Linked DNA regions of Oryctolagus cuniculus. The protein of the gene in region 2 binds, or shares a complex with, the protein of the main gene of each other region. Links are inferred from orthologs where the notes say so. Each region holds a gene or a part of one and is shown on either strand. Other genes may lie near its edges. The genes, in order: PLRG1, PPIL2 and CRIPT.

What was found.
Region 1: PPIL2 (region 2) and PLRG1 share a complex: the UniProt entries of both Homo sapiens proteins name them as parts of the minor spliceosome. The link is inferred for Oryctolagus cuniculus from reciprocal best matches to the Homo sapiens genes PPIL2 and PLRG1.
Region 3: PPIL2 (region 2) and CRIPT share a complex: the UniProt entries of both Homo sapiens proteins name them as parts of the minor spliceosome. The link is inferred for Oryctolagus cuniculus from reciprocal best matches to the Homo sapiens genes PPIL2 and CRIPT.

Annotation. Positions count from the first base shown.
Region 1 is NC_091439.1:11,044,980-11,048,627, reverse strand, and holds part of PLRG1 (pleiotropic regulator 1), read left to right. Parts: coding exon 1-34; intron 35-1,984; coding exon 1,985-2,077; intron 2,078-3,143; coding exon 3,144-3,293; intron 3,294-3,382; coding exon 3,383-3,484; intron 3,485-3,648. UniProt on the Homo sapiens protein: Involved in pre-mRNA splicing as component of the spliceosome. Component of the PRP19-CDC5L complex that forms an integral part of the spliceosome and is required for activating pre-mRNA splicing.
Region 2 is NC_091452.1:29,126,954-29,130,701, reverse strand, and holds the start of PPIL2 (RING-type E3 ubiquitin-protein ligase PPIL2), read left to right. Parts: upstream 1-1,088; 5' UTR 1,089-1,274; coding exon 1,275-1,306; intron 1,307-3,011; coding exon 3,012-3,061; intron 3,062-3,748. UniProt on the Homo sapiens protein: Has a ubiquitin-protein ligase activity acting as an E3 ubiquitin protein ligase or as an ubiquitin-ubiquitin ligase promoting elongation of ubiquitin chains on substrates.
Region 3 is NC_091433.1:156,146,913-156,150,660, forward strand, and holds the start of CRIPT (cysteine-rich PDZ-binding protein), read right to left. Parts: upstream 2,747-3,748; 5' UTR 2,610-2,746; coding exon 2,594-2,609; intron 906-2,593; coding exon 840-905; intron 187-839; coding exon 132-186; intron 1-131. UniProt on the Homo sapiens protein: As a component of the minor spliceosome, involved in the splicing of U12-type introns in pre-mRNAs. Involved in the cytoskeletal anchoring of DLG4 in excitatory synapses.

The DNA.
Region 1 (3,648 bases), on a different chromosome or scaffold from region 2:
ACCCCAGTGGCACCCACCATGGAAACTCTACAGGGTGAGCGAATGTCCATTTTATTCTGCCGTGTGAAACGTGTTGCTGTACAGTTGACAGTAGTCGAAGAATAGAACAAGAAGGAAGAGGCGTGACTGAAAACTGGTAGAGTGATTGCAGATGGGATGAGACGGGGCTTAGGCCAAGATATCTTGGAAAAGAATTTTCCTTAGGTAAAAGTGATACTTGTACATCTTATAAAATATTGATAGAAGGCTATTAAATGTGGAAAGCCATCAATTTAAGAAAATGGAATATTTAAAATGAAGGCCAAAGTATACAACAACCATGTAAAAAAATTTCTTTGAACCTACCAGTTATCCTTTCATCTGAATAACTGATTTAATGTACCAGATATAAGATGAAAAGTATTTACTAGGGGCCGACACTGGGGTGCAGCAGGTTAAAGCCCTGGCCTGCAACACTGGCATCCTCTATGGGCACAGGTTCCATTCCCGGCGGCTCAACTTTTAATCCAGCTCTCTGCTGATGTGCTTAGGAAGGCAGCGGAGGAAGGCCTGAGTAGTTGCATCCCTGCACCCACATAGAGACCCTGGGGAGGCTCCTGGCTCCTGGCTTCATTCGGATCGGCTCAGCTCTGGCCATTGCAACCATTTGGGGAGTGGGCCAGTAGATGGAAGACCTCTTTCTCTCTGTTTCTGCTTCTCTCTGTAACTCTTTAAAATTAAAAAAAAATACAGCTGACATAATTTAGTATATATTTAAATTTTACAAGTATTCAAATGATTATATAGTAATAGAGATGTTTCTTTTGGTGTGTAGGTCAAATGAATTAATAGATGTGTAGATCTGGGTGACCATTATCACCATCAGGATGTAAATATTACATAATCTCAAAACACAGCCCTGTGTTGCTGTGTTTTTGTGTATTTTTATTTTTTTAACGATTTATTTAAAAGTCAGAGTTACACAGAGAGAGAGAGGTCTTCCATCTGCTGGTTCACTCCCCAGTTGGCTGGGATGGCCGGAACTATGCCAATCTGAAGCCAGGAGCCGGGAGCTACTTCCGGGTCTCCCACACGGGTGCAGGGGCCCAAGGACTTGGGCCATCTTCTACTGCTTTCCCAGGCCACAGCAGAGAGCTGGATCAGAAATGGAGCAGCCAGGACACGAACCGACGCCCATATGGGGTGCCTGCACCGCAGGTGGCGGCTCCACCCGCTGTACCACAGCGCCGGCCCCCTAAATGCTGCTGTTTTATCATCATACCCTTTTTCATCCCTGGCAACTAACTGATCTGTGTTCCAACACTGTAGTGGTATCTTTTCCACTATCTCATATCGGTGGAATCATACAATACATACTTTTTTTTTTTAAGATTTAATTTATTTATTTGAAAGGCAGACTGACATAGAAATTGAGCGAAAGACATCTTCTGTCCGCTGCTTCACTCCCCAGATGGCTGAAATGGCTGGGAGTGGGCCAGGCTGAAGCCAGGAGCCTGGAACTCCATCAGGGTCTCCCATGTGAGTTGCAGGGGCCCAAGTACTTGGGCCGTCATCTGCCTTCCTAGGAACATTGGCAGGGAGCTGGATGGAAAGCAGAGCAGCCGGTACTCAAACTGGTGCTCTGATGTGGGATGCTGGCATTGCTGTCCGTGGCTTAACCTGCTGAGCCACAATGCCAGCCCCTCGGTGTATACTTCTGGGACTGACTTCCTTCACTTAGGTTAATGCCTTTGAGATTCCTCCAGACTGTTAAATATATTAATGATTCATCCATTTTTATTACTGACTAGTATTGCATTGTGCAAATGTGTCATAATTTGTGTGTCCATTCACCTTTGAAGATAATATTTCTCATTCTAAAGCCTAGTTTTCAAATAATTTTGTTAGTATTTGAAGATGTGAGGATGGCAGTTTAAATCTGACTTGTGATTAAAATGTCATGTGCTAGCATAAGGGTTGAATCATGCTCTACTTTTTAATACAGGTTATCAGTGGGCATCTTGGCTGGGTTCGATGTATTGCTGTGGAACCTGGAAACCAATGGTTTGTTACAGGATCTGCTGACAGAACAATAAAGGTAATAAGGAAGTTAAAAATGAACATGACTATTTGCCATGGAAGCTTGGTCTGTTTCACATTATTTCCTGTGGTGGACGTTGCTGTTGCATTTCCTTTGATTTCTTAGGCCTGAATATAAAATAAAATGTATTGTATTTTGAATTATTTTATTACGATAGAGCCAAAGAAATGGAGTTAGTGGATTAAAAATTAGTTTCCTCTGTGGGTAAACTGATACTTGCAGTCCAGGAGAAGACTGATTTCAGCATATTGATTCTGTATTCCTTTAAAAAATAAAACTATTATGATAAGCAAAAATGGGTATCTAATTTTTTAAACACTGTTTATACAAAATTTCTAGTGAAATTAAGTTTTCTTGTGGCTGGTGCTGTGGTATAGCCAGTTAAACCACCTTCTGCAATGCCAGTATCCTGTATGAGTGCTGATTCGAGTCCTGGCTGCTCCACTTCTGATCCAGCTCGCTGCTAATGTGCCTGGGAAAGCAGCAGAAGATAGCTCAAGTGCCTGGGCCCCGCACCCACTTGGGAGACCTGGATGAAGCTCTTGGCTTTGCCTAGCACAGCCCTGGCTGTTGGTGGCCATTTGGGGAGTGAAGATGGAAGATCTCTATATCTCTGTAATTCTGACTTTAAAATAAGTAAATATCTTTAAAAAAAAAAAGTTAAAAAGAAAAGAAATTGAGCTTTTTCATATCTTTGCTACTTTCAGGTTTTTTTAAGTTGTCAGTCTTTTCTAATTTAATACCATGTTATTTTTACTATTATAGTTATATCATTTATATATTAATAATATTAACCTTGTCAACTCTGGAAAATATTTTCTGTTTGGGCTTGTCTTGTCTTTTTTTCCCCTGCTTTTATTTGGAAGGCAGCTATGCTCACCACTATACCACCAACGCACACTCCCCTGCTTTTATTTGGAGGGAAGTCATTTTGCATATTTATTTCTTTGTATCTATTTTTATCTTTTCCCTTCTTTTTGAAGACTTAATTTTAACATCAGGATTCTAAAATTTGCTTTAAAGTAACCAACATAAAGGAAAAATAATTACTGTTTGATTGCAGATATGGGACTTGGCTAGCGGCAAATTAAAACTGTCATTGACTGGGCACATTAGTACAGTGCGAGGCGTGATAGTAAGCACAAGGAGCCCATACCTGTTCTCCTGTGGAGAAGACAAGCAAGTAAAGTGCTGGGATCTTGAGTATAATAAGGTAACCACTGGGATAAGGGCTTAAAACTTGACAAGACACCCTTTATCTTTCTGCTTGTACAGACTTTAACTTCCCTGCTCTGTCCTTAGGTTATAAGGCACTATCATGGACATCTGAGCGCAGTGTATGGCTTGGATTTGCACCCAACAATCGATGTGCTGGTAACCTGTAGTCGAGATTCAACTGCACGGGTGAGATAGAGCTATATATTTGTAAATACTTTGTGTCTGGTAATGTCTATGTTTGCCGTTAGTCTCATATTGTTTGGTAAAGAATTAAAGGTAGCTGTCTTGACTCTTCAATACCTTAGTCCCTCAGGTTCTTGATGTGTATACTTTCCAGTTTTCATCTTCAG
Region 2 (3,748 bases):
GTACCTGGCTCCTGCCATCGGATCAGTGTGGTGCGCCGGCCGCAGCGCGCTGGTCGTGGTGGCCATTGGAGGGTGAACCAGCGGCAAAAGGAAGACTTTTCTTTCTGTCTCTCTCACTGTACACTCTGCCTGTCAAAAAAAAAAAATGCTTAATTAGGGCATCATCCCATATCCTGAAAGGGGCGACCCCAGCTTTGCGGGGGCAGTACCCTTCCTTCTCATGAAGAGAGGTTGCCTCTTCGCCATCTGAGTACCTAAATCCTGCTTTCCCGTACGCCCTTAGGGTGTTCCTCCAATTACTTCACCGAGTGGAGACAAGAACTTGGAGCAGGTGCAGCCAGGAGTGTCCAGCATATTGCAAAATGGCAGTGGGGGGCCCTCCTGCCCAGACGTGTAGGTACCATACATCTTTCACGCCTCGCATCTTCCGTAATGACTGCGAACCCCTCCCATGGGCAGAGGATTCGGTATGAGAATGAAGCTCAGGTAAGGTCATGGAGATCTGACTCAAACTATGGGATTCCTCTTAGGCTGAGGGTCTGGCCCCTCCCAGGGCAGTGCTGGAACATTCTTTGAAAAGCAAGCTCAGCAGTTGAGATTGGTCTGCCCCTCCTCCCGGTTCTGCCTCAATCCTAGGCCTTCAGTTACAAAATTTGGGTGACCCGGTGGCTGGCAGTCCGTTCAGGAGACAGGAGAGTAAGGAGGCAGCGGGACAAGAATTCTGCTTTCTCAGCAGGCGTGTTAAATCCGAGATCAGTGGTTTGAGAGTCCACAGCGCCGGCACCTCAGCTTGGCGAGTCCCGAGACGCAAGTGCTGCTGGCCAGGGTCACCCGGGGCCCCAGCGTTGGACCCAAAGTGGCTCAAGAAGAGACAGAAGGGACCAAGCGACGGTCCATGGCCACCTGTCGCTGGGCTGCCGAGGGGCGTGGAGGCTGTCGGACACAATGCACTCTGGGAATGGGATACGAGCGAGCAGGCAGCTAAATGGGGCGGTGCGAGGAGAGAACAGCTCCGCCAAGAAAGAGGGGGCTCAAGCTAGCGCGGCCTCCCTCAGTCCAGGGTCTCAGGTACCACACCGCGCCCAGACCCCGTTGGAGCATGCGCACTCGGCGGCAGGGAAACCCGACAGTTCCCGGCATGCCAAGCGCCCGCTTCCGGCGTGGGCCCGCGGATCCCGGAAGTAGCTGCCCGACTACTCGGCGGCGTCTGTGGGCTCGCGGTTGCTGGCCGTGACTTTTCCGCGCTCGAAGACCCCACCGCCGCGCTCGCCGCCATGGGGAAACGCCAGCACCAGAAAGACAAGATGTACGTGGAACCGCGTCGGGGGAGCGGCTCGCCGCTGCGCGCCCGGCCCCGCGCTTGGCCGGGGCTTCGCGTCGCTCCTCTTCCCTCGCAGAGTCGAGTCCCCAGGACTCCTCCCGGAAGCCCCCTGCCCACTCCCCAGGCCGGGCAGTGACACCGCTGCCCCCAGCCCCTGCGGTAGCCCGGGGATCCGGCAGCCGCGTCTCGGGCCCCCCGGGGTTGGAAGCGAGCGAGCCCCGGCCGCCGTCGCGTTTCTTCGCCTTTTCCGAGTGACGAGCCCCGGTCTGCTGCTGTCTCTCGAGTCCGCTGGGGCCAGGCTTTCACAGCCCCTGTCCCCCGCCTTGAGTCCTTGTTGCCGAGCTTGGGGTCATCCAGTCATTTCTCAAGCCCGTGGCGTTGACCTCTGCGATCTCGCGTGCGTGGTTTTCCCGCAAACTTCAGCGGCCTCCCCTTTTCTCGGGTTCGTCGGCCGGGCCCCCTCCTCCCGTTTCTCCCAGGCCTCACAGGTTACTGTCTGTGGCGGGGGTCTTGAAGCAGTCTGTTCAGCCCGGCATCTCCGCTTCGGCGGTCTGATACAGACCGCATTTTAATCTGATCATCGGAAATAGAACCCAGCCCTGGAGTTTGCCTCTCTCCTTCCTGTCTCAGTGATAGGCTGAGAATTAAAAAAAATTTTTTTTTAAAGATATTTGTATTGATGTGAAATGCGGAATGACACAGGGAGAGAAAGAAAGATCTACCATGCACTGGTCCAGTCCCCCAAGTGCCCCACAGCCAGGGCTGGGCCAGGAACTCCATGCAGGTCTCCCACGTGGGTAGTAGGGACCCCAAGTGACTTGAGCCATCCTCTGCCGCCCCCCAGGTGCCTTGGCAGGGAGCTGGTCAGAAGCAGAGGGGCGGGGTCTGATTCCAGGCGCTCTGGTACGGTATGCGGGTGGCAGCCTCACTCACCGCACCACAGCGCCCACCACAGACAGGGTTTTCCGACCTTACCGTGGTGTGAAAGCAATGTGTGCTGGGGGCCAGTGCTGTGGCGTAGTGGGTAAAGCTGCCACCTGCAGTGCCGGCATCCCAGATGGGCACTGGTTCGAGTCCTGGCTGCTCCTCTTCTCATCCAGCTCTCTGTTGTGGCCTGGGAAAGCAGTAGAAGATGGCCCAAGTCCTTGGGCCCCTGCACCCACGTGGGAGACCCGGAGGAAGTGGTCAATTCCTGGTGGATTTTCTGCTGCTGCTCTGGCTGTCTTCCTACGCACAGCAGCCAGGGCGAGGCTTTGCGGCTGATGTCAGATCCTGCCTAGCAGGGCCCTGGCTCCGAACCCTCCGTGGTCTCCCACCCACTGAGGAAGACCTGCGAGGCCCCTCCCCATCCGTCTTCCTCCGCTGCCACCCGCCGGTGCCCGCAGCTCCCCAGCGACATCTGTCTGTTCTTCCTGCCTTGGGCATCGGTACCCGCTGTGGCTGCGGGCCCCGCCCGTGTGTCTGCCTGGAGGGCTCTTCCCCCAGGTCTGCCCGTGCCGGCCGCTCTCATGTGTCAGGTCTTCCTGGGTGAATCACCTCCTTTCCTTCTGAGCAGCGCAGGGCCGTCTGTGTTTATTTATTTATGGGTTTGTGCAGCCCCGTGTCTGCCGTGTTCACCCCTGGCTGGCCAGTGGCAGCGTAGTGATATCTCTCCCTCCCTCTCCCCGTCCCCTCCCCCTCCCCCTCTCAGGTACATCACCTGTGCTGAATACACTCACTTCTATGGTGGCAAGAAGCCAGGTAAGGCATGGGAGTCTTCTCTGCCCCGAGGACAGGGGTGTACAGAGGATGGGTGGCCCCATTATACAGGCAGCCCGTGGTCTGTGCAGGACAGCTGGGCCGAGGACTCCATTCACGGAAGAGGAAAGATGCCCCACCCACTGGCGATTTTTTTAAAAATATGGCTTAAAATAACCAAAGTGCTCCAGGCTGTGGTGAAAAGAACCCTGGTCTACATTTTTTCTTTTTCTTTTTCTTTTTTTTTTTATTTCAAAGTCAGAGTTACCAGAGAGAGAAGGAGAGGCAAAGAGAGAGGCAGAGAGAGAGAGAGAGAGGTCTTCCATCTGCTGGTTCACTCCCCAATTGGCCGCAACAGCTGGAGCTGGACTGATCTGAAGCCAGGAGCCAGGAGCTTCCTCCAGGTCTCCCACGTGGGTGCAAGGGCCCAAGGGTTTGGGCCATCTTCTACTGCTTTCCTAGGCCATAGCAGAGAGCTGGATCAAAAGAGCAGCCAGGACTTGAACTGGCACCCATAAGGGATGCCGGCACTGGAGGCGGCAGCTTTACCCCCTACACTACAGTGCTGGCCCTCTTTTTTTTTTTTAAGATCTAGTTATTGGCCGGCGCCGCGGCTCACTAGGCTAATCCTCCACCTGCAGCGCCAGCACACCAGGTTCTAGTCCCAGTCGGGGCTCCGGATTCTGTCCC
Region 3 (3,748 bases), on a different chromosome or scaffold from region 2:
ATCCCTGGCTCCCTCTGCCAGGACCTCTCATGCTTTGAGCACAATGCAATGATGAACAGTAAATTCACTCCCGCATGCTTAGTCTCAGGAGTGGGAACTTACACGACGGCTCCACAGAGGCTCTTACCCACCTTGCTTTTTTTGAAGTCAAAGCTTTATTTTCATTCAGCTTTCTTCCACCACTTTCTGTATCAAAATATTTCAGTAAGTTATTTCTACATACTTAACATCACACCTACTAATTCAGTTAGAAGTTCATCCTTTGACCTCCCACCATTAGAATAGCCTATATCAAAATTTTTAAATTCTCGTGAAATAGCTAAGTTTTTGAGATGCTACTTAGAAAATATTAGGGAAACAATGACGTTTATGTGAGATGCAGTTTTCTTACTCAGACAGCAAGCAGTACTTTAGGGGTGAGTCTACATTTACTCCATCCACTATAAAATCTAGAAGTTACTACTTTGGTGTCACAGACTCTGAGTCCAGTTCAACTTTCGTTTCCTTCCTGGTGAAAACAGCTTAAGTAATTTTTTTTTTATAAAGAAGATAAAAACTAGGTGAGGAGAGGAGAAATTAAATTCGGACTCTACACTATGACACACTCATCACTTGAAAATATTTAGTAGGTTTGCTATCTCCTGCTTACTATGTTAGGAACCTGTGCATGTAACTGGGAGAACTAGAGAGAAGGCATTAAATCACTGGGGGACCCCGTATATTCTTTATAGACAAGATACTCTGAGAATACAACATCTCACTTTACAAATAAATGTAAAAATATATTATTCACAGGTGGTATTTAATTCAATTTCTGTTTTCCAAAAGAAAAAAAATACCTGTGGTATTTCTTGCACCATCCTTCCATGTATCCGGAGTGATAACAGTGCCAAGTTTCTTTTCACCTGTTGTGATAAAATAGTAAAAGGGGCATTATAACTTGCTAGTTAATAAATACACCACATGGTGCCAAGGCTCCCAATGCCATCAACAGTCATATTACAGTGGGAGCCTGTTAATGCTGGGGTAGAGGCTAGTGAACTGAGATTCAAGATTTTTTTTAAAAAAATTTTATTTTATTTGTTTGAAATGCAGGTTGGGGAGGCAGGTGGTTTCCCATTCACTGGTTGGGAGTGGAACTGGGACTCACATCCAAGGATGCAAAACCCAGACACTCTAATCTGGGATACAAGCATCCCAAGTGACAGACTAACACAAATTACATGGGAGGCCAAAGTTAGAGATTTAAGAACCACACCTAAGAGATGAGACATTTGGGCCAGCACATAATATAAAGATATTTAATTCAAACTTACTCAAATACACACACAAGTCCAAAAACCACTGCAAGTACAAGATGAAGCAGAGTTACAGACAGTCAGTGTCAAGTAAGATCATGCACTTTCTGAAGGGATGGACAGGTCAGCCTATGATCACACTGCACAACTCTGAATATACTGAAAACCAGTGAATTGTACACTTAAAGTGCATGAATTGCATGGCATGTGAATTACGTCTTAATGGTTATTTTCTTAAAGCTTAATGTAAGGCAACAATGGTATGTGGTGTAGTATCCAGAAGGAGGGAGGCATTAGTTGCACTCTGGCCCACATATGGAGCAGAGTTTAATTCTGTGTCACGCAGTAGTGAGTTATGACAGAGGACACACTAGGGACCTTTGTACCAGGCATTACCTATGTCATTTCATGTAATTCTCAAAAAAACCCAAGGCTTATGTTGCGTTCTCATTTTCAGATGGGAAATCTGGGAACACCACGCAGCTTTGCCATGGGTCTGTGTGTCCAGACTGTATCCATCTACCACGGGGATGCCCACAGGTCATGTTCATTAGACCATAATCAGGATTAAGAGGAGTGGAACTCTTGTCACAGAAGAGCCAGAGGGAGAGGATTTGGGAACTTGACAGCTGCTTTTAAACACATAAACAGCTTGGTAGGTCCACAGGGTGTATTTTCTACAAATCTTAAGAGTTTGAATTAAAAACACTGGGTGGCAACCACAGAGGAAAATACTTTCCTCAAGCCAGCAATGCCTCCTTGCAGAGACTTCTTCGTAGGTCGTGGGGGTCTCCAGCCTCCCCCACCCAGATACTGTTTCTTTCATAGGATGGGATGCATTCAGAATAAGCAACGAAGCCAATTTAGTAAGGCACGTCCTAAATAACCGAATGGGGCATACTTACAGCACTAAAAAAAAGTATTCGTTGTTTATCTTAAATTAAAATTCAATTGGAGGTCTGGAATTGCTAGATCTCGCAACTCCACACGCTACAGAAATGACTTTTAAGGTCCATTTTAAGCCTGACGGAGGCGGTCGAGAAGCCGTAACTGATGAGGCGAGAGCCAGAAGGCGGCGACGGCAATGGGCAAAAAGGTGCAGAACTAAGGCCATTCTGATGACAAAATATACGGGATTACACAGTCGATGAGGGGCAGGAAGGGTCACAGGGCAAGGGTGGGAGAACACAGGCTAGACTTAGAGACCTGTGGGAAAAGGAAAAACCAAGTTCCCAGGAGAGTCCGAGTAAGTTCTCCCAGCCTCCTCTCCCCACACAAGCGGCCCCTTAACTCACATTTTTCGCACACCATCTTTCCGCCGACGATTCGCCCTCCTCGCCCCAGAATCAGCCGCAGCTTGAAAACATCAACACTACAGCCTGGGAAGAATTTTCCTTCCGGGCTACGTCAATCTACTTCCGGCCCCTAATCCTCCGCTCCCGCCAATCCTACGCCTGGAAAGCCGCGGGAGGCATGAACGCCAGCGGGTAGGCGGGGCTGCCTCGTTTGTCCGCCCATCCCCTTCTGCGATTGGCTGTGCGACCGTGGGTCTCCGCCCCGCGCGCTTGCGCCTGCGCGTGGGCTGGGGCAGCCCGTTGTGCCTTGATGGTGGGAGGCAGTAGTTCCCTTTCCCTTCGCGGGCGGGAGAGTTAGGTAAGCCCCGTTGGCTGCGTTCTCCTCTGGGAGGTGTGGAAGGCGCCTCCGCCAACTGCCCGAGTGGTCGCGAGCTTGCGCGCCCCCGCCGGCCCTCGGAGGGCCTCCTTCCGCGTGACCCAGGGGCTCCCCTGCTGGACCGCTCCTCTTTCTCAGGCGCGTTCCTGCCCGCGTCCCTCAGCTTTCGCCGGCTGACGGGCCGAGCCCCAGTGACCCGGTGTGGGGTGGGGCTGCGGATGAAGTCCGCGACCCGGGCGGCGGCTGCCCCGGGAGGGCTCGCCGGCGCCCTGCTGGCCGGCGTGGGCGGGCCGAGATCGCCGGCGCCGTGGCGGTGGCCCCGCGAAGGCGCGCCCGGCAGGTGTCCTCGTGGGCCCGCCGAGAAGGGCAGGCGCTTCACCTGCCCGGGTTCCTTCGTTCTTTGAGCAGGCGCTGGAGTGTGGCTTCTGCTGCTGGGATTCCGAGGGTGGCCCAGAGAAAGTAAGGGGGATCTGTTGAGAGAATGGATTTCTGTTCCCCCTACCCGACCCGCAGGCAGCTGAGAGTCTGAGAAACTTTGTCCCTGCTTGTCGCCCGTTCTCTACCGGATCCCTCGTGTGTCCCTTTATGTCTGTAGCGCTGGGGAGCTTGGAACAAGTCTCCTGACTTGTTTTTCTTGTTTAATCAGTAAACTACTTGCCTTTGATAAATGACCGCGGGAATCAAATAAGAGCTATTCGCCAGTGAGCTCCATCCTCTCCCCACCCACATATGCTTTTATGTATTTTTTAGGGCTGTTTCTGTTTGGTGGAATATTCACA